2 linked regions of the Saccharomyces cerevisiae S288C genome follow. The protein of the gene in region 1 interacts with the protein of each later gene in a pairwise test. Each region holds a gene or a part of one and is shown on either strand. Other genes may lie near its edges.

What was found.
Region 2: the proteins of ATF2 (region 1) and YIP3 interact in a two-hybrid assay, tested with the Saccharomyces cerevisiae proteins (one large-scale study listed by BioGRID).

The regions. Positions count from the first base shown.
Region 1 is NC_001139.9:847,477-852,241, reverse strand, and holds ATF2 (alcohol O-acetyltransferase), read left to right. Parts: upstream 1-1,805; coding exon 1,806-3,413; downstream 3,414-4,765. Other genes in the region: PBP1 (Pbp1p), read left to right, coding at 1-1,195; ERG1 (squalene monooxygenase), read left to right, coding at 3,819-4,765. UniProt on the Saccharomyces cerevisiae protein: Can use acetyl-CoA to synthesize acetate esters from various alcohols, producing ethyl acetate, isoamyl acetate, isobutyl acetate, butyl acetate, hexyl acetate, heptyl acetate and octyl acetate.
Region 2 is NC_001146.8:543,015-546,377, forward strand, and holds YIP3 (Yip3p), read left to right. Parts: upstream 1-2,253; coding exon 2,254-2,277; intron 2,278-2,356; coding exon 2,357-2,863; downstream 2,864-3,363. Other genes in the region: LAP2 (bifunctional aminopeptidase/epoxide hydrolase), read left to right, coding at 1-1,964.

The DNA of each region.
Region 1 (4,765 bases):
AAGACAGCAACCTCATCATATGGATCCAGCAATTATCTCTTCGAGTAATTCTAACAAAAATGAAAATGCCGTTTCCACGGATACCTCTACTCCCGCAGCAGCAGGTGCGCCAGAGGGAAAACCCCCACAAAAGACTTCTAAGAATAAGAAAAGTTTGAGTAGCAAAGAAGCCCAGATTGAAGAGTTGAAGAAATTTTCCGAGAAATTTAAAGTTCCATATGATATTCCAAAAGACATGCTAGAAGTCTTAAAAAGGTCAAGCTCTACATTAAAATCTAATTCTTCGTTGCCTCCAAAACCGATCAGCAAAACCCCTTCGGCCAAGACTGTTTCTCCTACTACACAGATTTCTGCAGGGAAATCAGAATCTAGAAGAAGTGGCAGCAACATATCTCAAGGCCAATCATCTACCGGCCATACCACGAGATCTAGTACTTCATTGAGAAGACGTAATCATGGTTCCTTTTTTGGTGCCAAGAACCCTCATACTAATGACGCCAAGAGAGTGTTGTTCGGAAAAAGTTTTAATATGTTCATCAAATCCAAGGAGGCCCACGATGAAAAGAAGAAAGGCGATGATGCCTCGGAGAATATGGAACCCTTCTTTATTGAAAAACCTTATTTTACTGCGCCAACCTGGTTAAATACAATTGAAGAATCGTATAAGACATTTTTCCCAGATGAGGATACGGCGATTCAAGAAGCTCAAACTAGGTTCCAACAACGCCAATTGAACTCCATGGGCAATGCTGTGCCTGGTATGAATCCAGCTATGGGCATGAATATGGGCGGGATGATGGGCTTTCCGATGGGAGGTCCATCGGCATCACCAAATCCGATGATGAATGGCTTTGCTGCTGGGTCAATGGGTATGTACATGCCATTTCAACCTCAGCCAATGTTTTATCACCCATCTATGCCTCAAATGATGCCAGTTATGGGTAGCAATGGGGCTGAAGAAGGAGGAGGAAATATTTCGCCCCATGTCCCTGCAGGTTTTATGGCAGCTGGCCCTGGCGCTCCTATGGGTGCCTTCGGGTATCCAGGAGGGATACCCTTCCAAGGAATGATGGGATCAGGTCCATCTGGCATGCCAGCGAACGGGTCGGCAATGCACAGTCATGGCCATAGTAGAAATTACCATCAAACTAGCCACCATGGCCACCATAATAGTAGTACCAGTGGCCATAAATAGTGAAGGAAGCACGTCAGAAAAAGCAATATATAGTAATAAATTCATGCACTTTATAAATATGGTATATAATCAGTGGTACTTACTTACCCATAAATAATGGAACTTTTAATTTTTATGGGAAGGATACTGGATTTTCATTTTTTTCATTTTTTTTGGAACAGGGTACTGAAACTTTTCTTTTTGAAAAAAAAATAAGAACTGAAGAATTTCAATGAACTGGAAGGCTCATCCATTTTTTTTTTTTTTCTTCAGATAGAACAGGCTTTAGCAAATTTTAAGTAATCAGTATTTCAATCGCCACAATCTCAGGCTACATTGAACTCTGTAGGCCACCGATAAATATTGCGGGATAATGAGTAAACGAATTCAACGAGTTTCCTATTTTGGTATTCTATATTTTTTCATACACCTAAACGATCGTAAACATTTGTTGTCAAGATTTACGTTTCTTCGAGGTCTGTGAAAATAGAGCAAATTGTTACTTAAAAGACAACAACAAATGTGTAGGGCAATTCTGCAGTAACAGCAATGTCATTCCTAATGCGTACAAACAGTACTGAGACTTTCAAACGAATAATAACTTCAGCAATAAAAATTGTCCAGGTTAATTATGGAAGATATAGAAGGATACGAACCACATATCACTCAAGAGTTGATAGACCGTGGCCATGCAAGACGTATGGGCCACTTGGAAAACTACTTTGCTGTTTTGAGTAGGCAGAAAATGTACTCGAATTTTACTGTTTACGCGGAATTGAATAAAGGTGTTAATAAGAGACAACTAATGCTTGTCTTGAAAGTATTACTTCAAAAATACTCAACTCTTGCGCATACAATCATTCCTAAGCATTATCCTCATCATGAAGCGTACTACTCTAGCGAAGAGTACCTTAGTAAACCTTTTCCACAGCATGATTTCATAAAGGTGATTTCTCATCTTGAATTCGATGACTTGATTATGAATAATCAACCAGAATACAGAGAAGTCATGGAGAAAATCTCAGAACAGTTCAAAAAGGATGATTTCAAAGTCACCAATAGGTTAATCGAATTGATTAGCCCTGTAATCATACCTCTGGGTAATCCGAAGAGGCCTAATTGGAGATTGATTTGTTTACCAGGTAAGGATACTGATGGGTTTGAAACGTGGAAAAACTTCGTTTATGTCACTAACCACTGCGGCTCCGACGGTGTCAGTGGATCGAATTTTTTCAAAGATTTAGCTCTACTCTTTTGTAAAATCGAAGAAAAAGGGTTTGATTATGATGAAGAGTTCATCGAAGATCAAGTCATCATTGACTATGATCGAGACTACACTGAAATTTCTAAATTGCCAAAACCGATTACGGATCGTATTGACTACAAGCCAGCATTGACTTCATTACCCAAATTCTTTTTAACAACCTTCATTTATGAACATTGTAATTTTAAAACCTCCAGCGAATCTACACTTACAGCTAGATATAGCCCCTCTAGTAATGCTAATGCTAGTTACAATTACTTGTTGCATTTCAGTACTAAGCAAGTAGAACAAATCAGAGCTCAGATCAAGAAAAATGTTCACGATGGGTGCACCCTAACACCCTTCATTCAAGCGTGCTTTCTTGTAGCCCTGTATAGACTGGATAAGCTGTTCACAAAATCTCTTCTCGAGTATGGGTTCGATGTGGCTATTCCAAGCAACGCAAGAAGGTTTTTACCAAACGATGAAGAGTTAAGAGATTCTTATAAATACGGCTCCAACGTTGGAGGTTCGCATTACGCCTATCTAATCTCCTCATTCGACATTCCCGAAGGTGACAATGACAAGTTTTGGAGTCTTGTCGAATACTACTATGACCGCTTTTTAGAATCGTACGACAACGGTGACCACTTGATTGGTCTGGGGGTCCTACAACTTGATTTTATCGTTGAAAACAAGAATATAGACAGCCTTCTTGCCAACTCTTATTTGCACCAGCAAAGAGGCGGTGCAATCATCAGTAATACAGGACTTGTCTCGCAAGATACGACCAAGCCGTACTACGTTCGGGATTTAATCTTCTCGCAGTCTGCAGGCGCCTTGAGATTTGCGTTCGGCCTAAACGTTTGCTCCACAAACGTGAATGGTATGAACATGGACATGAGCGTGGTTCAGGGCACTCTACGGGATCGTGGCGAATGGGAATCGTTCTGCAAGCTCTTCTACCAAACCATCGGCGAATTTGCGTCGCTTTAATGCGATACTGCCGTAGCGGGCCTTCGTATAGCTCGGCCGAGCTCGTACAAAAGGCAAGCAGTGTATCGGACAGAGCTGATATAACACAATACGCTCGTAGTCGATGCATGCCGTGGCTGCTCTCGGTCGGGTATAAGTCTTAGACAATAGTCTTACCTCGCATGTATAATAAATCTTTTGTATTTAATCTATTATATGTTTCTATGCTTTTTTTTCCTATTGTTGTTTGCTTTTCCTTTTCCTTATTTCTTTCTAGCTTCTAATTTTCTTTCTTTTTTTTTTTTTTTTCATTGAAAATTATATATATATATATATATCAGAACAATTGTCCAGTATTGAACAATACAGGTTATTTCGAACAATTGAAAAAAAAAAATCACAGAAAAACATATCGAGAAAAGGGTCATGTCTGCTGTTAACGTTGCACCTGAATTGATTAATGCCGACAACACAATTACCTACGATGCGATTGTCATCGGTGCTGGTGTTATCGGTCCATGTGTTGCTACTGGTCTAGCAAGAAAGGGTAAGAAAGTTCTTATCGTAGAACGTGACTGGGCTATGCCTGATAGAATTGTTGGTGAATTGATGCAACCAGGTGGTGTTAGAGCATTGAGAAGTCTGGGTATGATTCAATCTATCAACAACATCGAAGCATATCCTGTTACCGGTTATACCGTCTTTTTCAACGGCGAACAAGTTGATATTCCATACCCTTACAAGGCCGATATCCCTAAAGTTGAAAAATTGAAGGACTTGGTCAAAGATGGTAATGACAAGGTCTTGGAAGACAGCACTATTCACATCAAGGATTACGAAGATGATGAAAGAGAAAGGGGTGTTGCTTTTGTTCATGGTAGATTCTTGAACAACTTGAGAAACATTACTGCTCAAGAGCCAAATGTTACTAGAGTGCAAGGTAACTGTATTGAGATATTGAAGGATGAAAAGAATGAGGTTGTTGGTGCCAAGGTTGACATTGATGGCCGTGGCAAGGTGGAATTCAAAGCCCACTTGACATTTATCTGTGACGGTATCTTTTCACGTTTCAGAAAGGAATTGCACCCAGACCATGTTCCAACTGTCGGTTCTTCGTTTGTCGGTATGTCTTTGTTCAATGCTAAGAATCCTGCTCCTATGCACGGTCACGTTATTCTTGGTAGTGATCATATGCCAATCTTGGTTTACCAAATCAGTCCAGAAGAAACAAGAATCCTTTGTGCTTACAACTCTCCAAAGGTCCCAGCTGATATCAAGAGTTGGATGATTAAGGATGTCCAACCTTTCATTCCAAAGAGTCTACGTCCTTCATTTGATGAAGCCGTCAGCCAAGGTAAATTTAGAGCTATGCC
Region 2 (3,363 bases), on another chromosome or scaffold:
CGCTTCGATTTCGAGGTTTACTTACTGTAATCTCAAGAAACATACACATTTCCACCCCTCATAAAATGTTGCCTCTTTCAATTGAGCAGAGAAGACCTTCCCGCTCCCCCGAATACGATCAGTCTACTTTATCAAATTATAAGGACTTCGCAGTTCTTCACACCGATTTAAACCTGTCTGTTTCCTTCGAAAAGTCAGCCATTTCAGGGAGCGTTACATTCCAATTGAAAAAACTGCACGAAGGTAAAAATAAATCGGATGAATTACATCTGGATACATCCTATTTGGATGTCCAGGAGGTTCATATTGATGGTTCCAAGGCAGATTTTCAAATTGAGCAAAGAAAGGAGCCATTGGGCTCCAGGTTAGTCATCAATAACGCTTCTTGCAACGATAACTTTACCTTGAATATTCAATTTCGTACGACTGACAAGTGCACCGCTTTGCAATGGTTGAACAGCAAGCAAACCAAGGGCGGTAAACCGTACGTGTTTTCACAGTTGGAAGCTATTCATGCGAGGTCTTTGTTCCCCTGCTTTGATACTCCCTCTGTGAAGTCTACTTTCACTGCATCTATCGAGTCCCCACTACCAGTGGTTTTTTCAGGCATCAGGATTGAAGATACAAGCAAGGATACTAATATTTACAGATTTGAACAGAAAGTCCCTATCCCAGCCTACCTGATCGGTATTGCTTCCGGTGATTTGTCAAGCGCTCCAATTGGACCTCGTTCCACAGTTTACACTGAACCATTTCGTTTGAAAGATTGTCAATGGGAATTTGAAAACGATGTAGAGAAATTCATTCAAACTGCAGAGAAAATTATCTTTGAATACGAGTGGGGCACTTATGATATCTTAGTTAACGTCGATTCGTACCCTTACGGCGGTATGGAGTCTCCGAATATGACTTTTGCTACGCCCACCTTGATTGCACATGACAGATCCAACATTGATGTCATCGCCCATGAACTTGCTCACTCATGGTCTGGTAACTTAGTGACCAATTGTTCGTGGAATCATTTTTGGTTGAATGAAGGTTGGACCGTTTACTTAGAAAGAAGAATTATTGGTGCCATTCATGGCGAACCAACTAGACATTTCAGTGCTCTGATTGGTTGGAGCGATTTGCAGAATTCTATTGATTCTATGAAAGATCCTGAAAGATTTTCCACTTTGGTACAAAACTTGAACGATAACACTGACCCTGACGATGCCTTTTCCACTGTTCCGTACGAAAAGGGGTTCAACTTACTATTTCACTTGGAAACTATTTTGGGTGGTAAGGCTGAATTTGATCCATTTATTAGACACTATTTCAAGAAGTTTGCCAAAAAATCATTGGATACTTTCCAGTTTTTGGATACTTTGTATGAGTTCTATCCCGAAAAGAAAGAAATTTTGGATTCCGTTGACTGGGAAACTTGGCTGTATAAACCAGGTATGCCACCAAGGCCTCATTTTATTACGGCTTTGGCTGATAATGTTTATCAATTGGCTGACAAGTGGGTCGAAATGGCTCAACATTTGAAAACCACAGAGGATTTCCGGTCTGAATTTAACGCTATTGACATTAAGGATTTTAATTCAAATCAATTGGTTTTGTTCTTGGAAACTTTGACACAAAATGGCCATTCCAACAAGAAACCAAAAGATTTTGACTGGGCCAAGTTTCCCGTGGCATCTAGGGCACTGTTAGATATCTATCAAGATAACATTGTTAAATCACAGAACGCGGAAGTTGTTTTCAAGATGTTCAAATTTCAGATCTTTGCCAAGCTGCAAGAAGAATATAAGCATTTGGCCGATTGGTTGGGAACTGTAGGTAGAATGAAGTTTGTCCGTCCCGGTTACAGACTATTAAACTCTGTAGACCGTCGATTGGCACTTGCAACTTTCGACAAATTCAAGGACACGTATCATCCAATCTGTAAAGCTCTTGTGAAACAAGATTTAGGTCTTTGAAAAGGGACGTGTCGTAACATGAATACGTAAACAATTAAATATAACCTACTAATGAGCCTTCATTGCTACTTCTCTGGTTCTAATTAGTGGCGGAGTTCTGTGTCGTGCGATACGAATTTTGCACTTTTGTCACATGCAATCGAGGCAAAAAGAAAAAATAAATAATAACAACGAATATAAATACAAATCGAAAGAATTCAGATTGAATTCAATATTGCAGGGCTTTGAACACTGAGTTTGGAACTATCAGCCGTCAAATACGCATAAAATAACATCAAATACTCCAATAATGAATCAGTTAGGAGCTTTAGCCGTAAGTTCTAAATTGTAAACACATTTGCATCATTGAAAAACTATACTAACGCGTTAACCTTTTTTCTATATTTCTATAGCAAGTTTCACGTTTCACTCAAAACTTCTCCATGGAAAATATTAAGAGCGAGTTCCAATCCTTGCAATCTAAATTAGCAACCCTTCGCACCCCGCAAGAATTTTTCAATTTCAAGAAAATTTCCAAACCTCAAAACTTTGGGGAAGTTCAATCCAGAGTGGCGTATAACCTGAAGTACTTTTCCAGTAACTATGGTTTGATTATTGGTTGTTTGAGCATTTACACATTATTAACAAACTTGTTGCTACTCTTTGTTATTGTTCTAGTCGTAGCTGGTATTGTTGGTATAAACAAACTAAAGGGTGAGGAGCTCGTAACTCCATTTGGTTCTTTCAAGACCAACCAACTATACACCGGACTGGTTTGTGTTGCTGTGCCAATAGGTTTCTTAGCTTCGCCAATCTCAACTTTGCTATGGTTGATCGGTGCTTCTGCCGTCAGCGTTTTCGGACATGCATCATTGATGGAAAAACCCATCGAAACTGTATTTGATGAAGAAACTGTTTGAACACTCCTACAAGTGTTGGGAAAAGGAGTCATTCTTTTCTATTGTGTATTTTACTCTTCTTCAATATTTAGTTAATTCTTGTCTTTTATTCTCTTTCTCCGTCAACATTAGTATTTAATTGTATACAGACACCATTCATAATTGCAGTTAGCTTCTCTGTTCTTTCTCATTCCTAGGATTTACAATGCAGTCTTACCTTATTTGTTTATGTTTTTTTCGTTTATCAAGCGTGCAATCAATTACTGAAGATTCACGTGCCAAAACGTAAAAATAATAATAACATAACCCGAGAGAGGCAAGATTAGAATCAATTCATCTTTTCAAACAAATGGTTATATCGACTAAGCGAAGTGATTAGATGGTGTACGTCGCAGATATTCAACAGTGACGAATTATATGCGATTGTAAGATTGATTGGCAAATCGTATTCCATTACTACTATTAACAACTGATGGCATCTAGAAGGTAAAAAGGGTCAACGTAGATGAGGTAGAGTTTGA